Bombyx mori: one gene and its partner. Each later gene encodes a partner of the first gene's protein in a complex. Links are inferred from orthologs where the notes say so. Each region holds a gene or a part of one and is shown in the gene's direction. Other genes may lie near its edges.

Region 1 (3,836 bases):
TATAAAACAAACTGACTCCTTTGTGTATTAAATTAGTAAATGTAACATTCCAATTTCAACAACTAACAATTAGTCCTATTACCTTAAAAACTAAAATTTTCAAAACTTCGATGAATATAAAATGGATATAATAATCATGAAACTGAACCGTAAAACTATTTTAAAATCAATTCTGCAACAGGTGATGTAACAGAGTGTGTAGTAATATTGTGACCCTTCACTTTTAAAGAGGTAACACAAAAAGGAATACACTCAAGTTTATTATTTGTAGGAAGTTACATACCTAGGTAGGATTGATATTATGAATATATTTATTGGCATCTTTTAAAATACCACAATTTACCAACCTTAAAGTAATAAAGTAATTGTAAAAAGTTAAAGTAATAATAAAGTTGTAAAGTTTTAATTTAATTAAAGCCATAATCTCCTTAGAAACATGTGATTTTTGTTGTATTTTATTATGGATAAGATGTATAAAATCACATCATGTTAGAAGTAACCGTTACTATCCACAAAATCAGCTAACATTCATATTGTCATTTTACAGAGAATAACCTATTATTAGGTACGAGGCAAGGCCATTTATTGATGTACTCTTTATCAACAAATAATGAAGAGCAAAAGTATCAGGTACATTTGTTAAGATACAGGAAGAATTTTAGCAAAAAACCTATTCAGCAAATTGAAGTTATACTGGGTATTTATATTATTGTTTTAGTCAAATTATGTTTAAATAATTTTATTAGATGATGTTATAAGTAAATTTGGTATTAGAGAACAGGTTGTGCTTTACATACTTATGTAAAAGGATCCTGCAATAGTTTATACACTCTGGCTATATGAGTATATAATCCTGGTCTTTTCTGGCAATTATGATTGCAATCCCTTAACTCAATTGCAATAGCAGTACCCAATAATCAATAATCTTTCTCCTTCCCAAATACTTTCTGTCTTCTATCTTAACTTTAAATTTACAGGTTAGGTATTGGGTAATCAAATTGTATTCACTCCATTTTAATGCGTATTTTTTGTCTGTAAGTGATAGTGATCATTCACTCGTGAAAACAAAAAAATAAATAAATTTATATAATTATGTGTCATAGTGGTTCTGTGAACAAAGATTCTATTGATTTGATTCATACTATAATCTTTTCTATAAGAACATTTTAGTATCTGATTATTGTGGTATAGTTGCTTTCTCCTATACTGCAATAATTTTTTTGGAGCTGTTACTTATACAGTAATGTTTTTGCATTTCAGATGAAAATCTATTATTATGTCTGACAGATTCTACACTAGCTACATACAACATTAATGGTGTTAATTTTCCATTAATAAAAACTTTTGAACAGACAAAGGGTGCTTCACTTTTTGCTTTGGATTGTAAGGTTAGATTCATTGAAATATCTAGCTTTCGCATTAATTCATTACTGTTACTGACATCAAGAGATTTGTTTCACCCATGGTGCCATATCAGATTGAAGACTGGATTTTTACCAGTGTAGCAGAAGAGATTATGAACCAACTGCCAAGTGTTAAGTGGCTTCTGTTATGTACACTGCAGCATGAATACTGTTGTCCACCTGTAGAAACAATCTGAAAGTCTGAATTTTTTTCAAATCATAATATTATATCATTTTAAGTGGACATGGCAATGACCATGGCATTCCCTCAAATTTGAGGGAATCGTGGGAATAATTAAGTAATGTAATAACATAGGGATAATAATTCTGTAGAGGGATGAGATGGAACTCATGGCAACTATACTGAGATCTTAGAACTTATATCTCAAGGTGGGTGGCGCATTTACGTCGTAGATGTCCATGGGCTCCAGTAACCACTTAACATCAGGTGGGCTGTGAGTTTGTCCATCCATCTAAGCAATAAAAAAAAAAAAATGAACGGTTATTCTACTATATCTAATCTTCATGTTACATAATCCATATTTCATTTATAGCTTCTTTATGTTCAAGACAAAACAGTAAATATTTGTTGAGCAGTTTCTCTTCTTATAACTTTCCAATAACCCTTTTCTATTATATTACAAAAATCTATTCATGGTTTGGTAAAAGTATTTAAATTTCTTTTATTTTAAAACTTTAAAAGGTTAAGTTAATAAAAATTTATAATAACATCATGGAACTGACATATGTTATATTTAAAATAATCCATTTCACTACTGCTGCACATTCGCTAGCATTAAAATTGTAAGATTATGAAATGTGGCATTCTAGTATCAATCCATTGTTACTGCTTGGTAGAACACTCATTAGAATTCATAATATTACTATTCAATTTTCAGGTTTCATCAAGTAATGGTGCAGCGTCATCTGATGTTCGTCTTTGCGTTGCAGTAAGGAGGAAACTTCAAGTGTACTGCGGGAGTAAGGGTGAATTTAAACACATGCTAGATCTAAATATACCAGATGTACCAAAAGTAATGGCCTGGGGTCTGCAGTATCTATGTGTGGGATTTAAAGCAGAGTACACCCTATATGATGTAAGCAAACGAAATCCAATGTACAGTGAAAAGCACGAACCAATGAATGATTTGTTAAATATAGCTTTTTTTTATTGCTTAGATGTGTGGACGAGCTCACAGCCCACTTGGTGTTAAGTGGTTACTGGAGCCCATAGACATCTACGACGTATATGCGCCACACACCTTGAGATATAAGTTCTAAGGTATAGTTACAACAGCTGCCATGTTTGTGTTTGTGTCTATTCTAAATCTAAATGAGGACGATGCTGGTATTACTTAATATCCAGTTGGCTTTTCGGCTGTATTTTTTTTGGCCCAAGTACACCTTAGTGCCAATAGTACTTTATTAGAAGTTGATCTTGAATATGAAGTAAAAATATAAAGAGAACTCAATGTTATGCTTGTTGTTTATATAATGTTCTATGGTCTAAAAAGGTTTTTTACATTAATTATTGAGTGATTGGTACGACAGAGTTGTTATCCTCAAGTAATTAGATAAAAAATATGACAACTCAGAATAATCATATTGTCTAATAATCACTGGCCATATCTATAAAAGTCGATATGTTGTATCTAAAAATAGTTTGTTCCCTATAGGGTCCGAAACAGCTGGACCGATTTCGACGACATTTTTAGGAAATCTTAGCGATCGGATCAAAGTAAAATCAAAGATTTAGAAATATATATGTATAAAACCAAAAATGAAAAAAAATGTAAATTAACAGTTAAATAATTATGTCTCTAAATAATAAAATTAGAGAATGTAGGCATTATGTTACGAGGTAGTCTGTGAAAATGGCCATTGAATTTCATACCTCAGTTCAAGCGAGCTCGCGCCTCGACGTGATGATGGCTGCTTTTTGATACGAAATAAGCAAAAAGATATGAGTCGTCTATTATCAAAGGTGGCAATCTGTGCATTTGGACAAAAAAAAATTATTGATATGTCAATACAGATTGATTTGAATATATCGTCTCCTTCAAAGAATACGGTTCAAAACCTGCATTAAATAAAGGTTAATAGTTAACCTGTTATTTATCTAAGATGTCGTTCCGAAGAGTTTTGTGACTGCCAATGGAATACAAAGTGAATAATTCGTTTTTCTGATTTACCAATCATTGTCCAAAAGTCAGATTGCCGGCTTTGATAATAGTCGACTCATATAGTCGATTTGCATAGTTACATTCTGCATACCATTTTATTACATTTTTCAGGTGTCAGATGGAAAACCAAAAGAACTATTTCCCACAAGTAGTTCTAAATCATTAGAGCCAACTATTTCTAAGTACACAGAGACATCTTTCCTAGTAGGACGTGACCAAACATCGGTTCTTATAGAGGAGTCTAATAAAA
Region 2 (4,483 bases), on another chromosome or scaffold:
CTTTTCATAAATAAAAGGATTAAATCTATTAATTCTATTAAATTGAGACTGCATGTTTACTGCTTTTCGGTTTCCCGCCAAATGTTTTTTTTTCATTCAACTGCTTTTTTTTAATTAAGACAAAAAAAATTTTTTGGAGCTTGTGGCCTGGTATAGCCTCGTTACCTTTAGGCCAAATTATGACAATTCTGGTGATGCTATTATTGCCAATGTCTATAAAAAATTTAAATGTTAAGTTTATAAAAATCTTCAATTAAAAAATAGATACATATTCTGATAAATGGAAAATGAAATGATGAAAAAATGAATTAAATTTGCTTTATTTGAAACTGTAATTAATTGGGATGAAATTAATTAACACGAAAAGAGAAGAGATGAAATAAAAACTCAGTAAAATAGTGGTTATAAGACTATTTTATCTGATCAATGAGAATTCAGTGGACCTTTTGGAAGAACGTGAGACAACGTCCAGCAAGTTACCATTATTATCGTTTATGCTTACAGAAACATTTTTAAATAATACAATTCACACAACCTCGCACCTTACGTATCGCTAAAAAGCTAATTAGATTCGAACCAAATAATATTGACGGATCTTATATATTCTGTTGATAGCGGTAAATACACATTTCATACTTTTCTAATACATATATAAATATATAAGTTAGACAACCAAATGATTTTTTAAATCTTGATAGGCTCGCTATGAGCGATGCTAGGTGAATTGTTTTATTTGTTTATTTAGTGTTCCTCTAAGGTTAAATGAATTACAATAGCGACTTAAAAACCATTTAGCATTTACGAAAATACATGCAATATATGTGCTGTAAGAGGTAATTTCCGGTTCTTCCATGAATTGATGTACTCATGTTATATTATTATCTACTTCATATAATTATGGAGCTGAATGATGCTACCATTGTGAACTTCTTTGGATTGGATTTTTCTGCTGGGTCTAATCCACTTAAAAGGATTAATTAAAGTCTAGTCTAAGTCTTTTGATTTTGTTATTTAATATTTGATTACGATGGTGGAACGGAACGGTGGTTTAATAGCTGTTTAGGATCTGTAAAAATGCACAAAAATGCGGGAAAATAAAAAAAAAACACTGAAATAAAAAAAAGACGAAGCATGTACTAAAAAGTCCACTAACATAATCTCAGTAAAGAAACTCCCATTTTACTACGACTATAATTCATCCCATCTGAATTCGATTTCTGTAATTTCATCCCAATCCATTACAGTATTAAATAAATCAATTTCACATCATTTCACCTATATTCTTTTTTTTTCATAACATTTTTAGATAACAGAATATATGTCATGTATAAAAGATTACAGTGTATGGTAATCGCCTTAACCTTCGCCAAACCTGATGGAAAATGGGACTTCTACTATAAGCTATCGTTTCACAAACCGTGCAAGCCACAATAAAAAAAAAACTTGTTTTGTCAAATTCAGTTAAATGTCAAAATCAGAAAGACAATAATCAAATTCAGAAAAGTGCAGAACAGAACAAACGAAAGAAGAATTACGTTTTTATTATTAAAATGTGATTTTTTTAAACGGTTGAAATTCAAAACAATGGCTGTTAATATTGAGAGCTGCGAAAGCTTGCCTCCCGATGAGGAGCCGAAGCTAAAATACGATAGAATGGAAAATGATTTATTGAATATTTTACTGAAAGACGCTGTCAGTTGTATTTGTGTTCACACCAAATTCATCTGTATCGGAACACGTTGGGGTGTGATACACCTGCTAGATCACGAAGGTAACATAGTTGCTATATCCCAGGACGGGAAGACTGAATTCCAGGCTCATACTATCGCTGTCAACCAAATATCTGTAGACCAAAATGGGGATTACATAGCGAGTTGTTCAGACGATGGTAAAGTTGTCGTATATGGATTGTACAGTAATGATAACACGCACAACCTAAATTTAGGCAGGGCAGTGAAATCAGTTGCATTGGATCCTTGCTACTTCAAGTCAGGTTCAGGAAGAAGATTTCTTACAGGTAAAAAACGTTGTACTTAGTATGAATAGAATATTTAGGAAATCCTTTAAACCTCATAACCAAGTCTTATGTAAAAAACTAGTACATAAATAGTCAATAAAATATATAAATGTCGAATTTAAAATGAATTTATTCTGTAGTAATAATTAAATAATTGAGAACGAATTACACACATCTGGCCCCAGATAAGGATGTCCTGAATTATGAATGTTAATTGTAAATGAATTATGAATGTGGCTGCCCCACCCTTCAAACTGAAATGCATTACCGCTTCACGGCAGAAATAGGCAGGGTGGTGGTACCTACCCATGCGGACTCACAAGAGGTCCCACCACCAGTAAAAAAGACAAATCTGAAATTATTCAAAATGAATCTATTGAAAATGAATGAATCTATAAAAATATTCTGTAAATATATGGTAGGTATACAATATCACTGTTTAAAATGAAACTATAGTTAGATAAAAAAACACAACTACATTTATGCCAGGTCATTACACATTAACCATATAACTTGTGTATAAATCCACCTACTCTGCCTAGTAAATTTTTATTGACTTGAATACATTGACTTTTTGCATTAAAAGTGTACAATTTCCAAAAATATTCGAAATTGAGTTAATATGCTTAAATATTTGGTATCACCAGTATTTTTCTCATAAATACTGTCAAAAGAGTGTAGTTTAGTTTTAGTTTTTTTTAGTTTACCTATGATTTTACTACTATTAATAAAATCAATACATAATTTTATCTTACTTTATAAGACAGATAATGTAACTGATAATAAAAAAAAAAATGTTGCAAAGATGATTAATATTAAAAATATTACATGTTAAACCTTTAAAACACTCTCCTATAAAATTAGTTAGTTTTGAAATTATACAGTTTTAATGCGAGAAGAGGACATGTGTTCAAAAGATTATAAAACTTGAAGCATACATGTGATTCTAGAGCTGATCATACATGGCTTGAACGTACAACTTCACTTCATTAAACAATATAAATATAAACAACATTCAGATCATAATTCAAATCGTTTTATTTTTTCGCAACTTTGCTTGTAAATTATGAAAAGGCAAACTCGGGCAGAAATTTTGTGGATGTTCCCTTCCCTTTCCCTAAACTCACCCATAGTACGTAACTTATGCTTCCCTTAATCGTTTTGTCCTTTCTCTGCTTATGATGCATTCGTGATTTCCAGTGTTAAAGGAAGGAACTTCCATATTACGATGCCATTAAGACTATTAACTCATGTCTTGAGGTACGACGATAGTGACATCGTGACATAGTTTCCAGTAAACACTAAATTACCAAGTGAGTTATGAGTTTGTTTGCTCATCCAAAATTATAACATGTGTATTCTTCCAGGTGATCACAGATTGACACTATATGAAAAATCATTCCTTAATCGAATACGAACTACAGTATTACATGAATGCAAGGGAAACGTACAAGCCATGTCCTGGCAAGACAGGTTTGTAGCATGGGCAAGTGAAGTTGGGGTCCGTGTTTATGACCTAGTTGCTAAATGCTCTCTAGGTCTCATCCAATGGGAAAAGAACCTAAATAGATCTATTGAAGACTACCGCTGCAATCTTCTCTGGTCTGCTCCTAAGACTCTAATGATCGGCTGGGTTGATACCATCAGGATATGTGTCATTAGAAAGCGAAGTCAAATTGAATTACAGACTCGTGATGTCACAGAATACCTCGTGGATCCAATATATACCTACCAAATAGATTATTTTATAGGAGGTCTGGGCCCTTTGGACGATCTATTAGTTTTATTAGCCGTTCCAAAAGAATGCGATCCTAAAACCGGAAAGTCGCAAATGCCCGTTTTAATAGTGGCGAATTATAAAGGCTGCGAATTCTGCGAGATATCTTGGGAGACTTTAGACATAAGGGGCTACCAAGAATATAACTGTAATGATTACCATTTAGATATGCTTATAGAAGAAAACAGATTTTTTATTGTTTCCCCCAAAGACATTATCATAGCGAGCCCTTACGACATTGACGATAGAGTCACTTGGTTGACCCAACATAGAAGGTTCGAAAAAGCTATTGCCGTGTTGGAAGAGGTCGGTGGTAAAACTTCTAAGCACTCCGTGATGACGGTGGGCGTACAGTATTTAGATCACTTGCTCTCTGAACATCTTTATCAAGAGGCTGCCATTCTCTGTGCCAGAATATTTAAAAACGATAAAGTTTTATTAGAAAATCAAATATTAAAGTTTGCCGGCGTCAAACAACTTAGAACTATAAGTCCCTACGTGCCGAAGACGCCTGAACAAGCTTTAAGTCCTTACATATACGAAATAATACTTTTCGAATACCTCGAAGTGGATTCGCGAGGATTTTTAAAAATAATTAAAGAATGGAATCCAACTCTATACAAAACGAGCGTCGTTATAAACAAAGTAATCGAACATTTGTTAAACACCGAAGTTGACACGAACGTGTA

Evidence for each region.
Region 2: vam6/Vps39-like protein (region 1) and vacuolar protein sorting-associated protein 41 homolog share a complex: the UniProt entries of both Homo sapiens proteins name them as parts of the homotypic fusion and vacuole protein sorting (HOPS) complex. The link is inferred for Bombyx mori from reciprocal best matches to the Homo sapiens genes VPS39 and VPS41.

The regions. Positions count from the first base shown.
Region 1 is NC_085124.1:8,481,869-8,485,704, reverse strand, and holds part of vam6/Vps39-like protein, read left to right. Parts: intron 1-547; coding exon 548-697; intron 698-1,260; coding exon 1,261-1,388; intron 1,389-2,302; coding exon 2,303-2,500; intron 2,501-3,697; coding exon 3,698-3,836. UniProt on the Homo sapiens protein: Regulator of TGF-beta/activin signaling, inhibiting SMAD3- and activating SMAD2-dependent transcription.
Region 2 is NC_085123.1:777,511-781,993, forward strand, and holds the start of vacuolar protein sorting-associated protein 41 homolog, read left to right. Parts: upstream 1-1,359; 5' UTR 1,360-1,584; coding exon 1,585-2,017; intron 2,018-3,384; coding exon 3,385-4,483. Other genes in the region: DNA polymerase nu, read right to left, coding at 1-96. UniProt on the Homo sapiens protein: Plays a role in vesicle-mediated protein trafficking to lysosomal compartments including the endocytic membrane transport and autophagic pathways. Acts as a component of the HOPS endosomal tethering complex.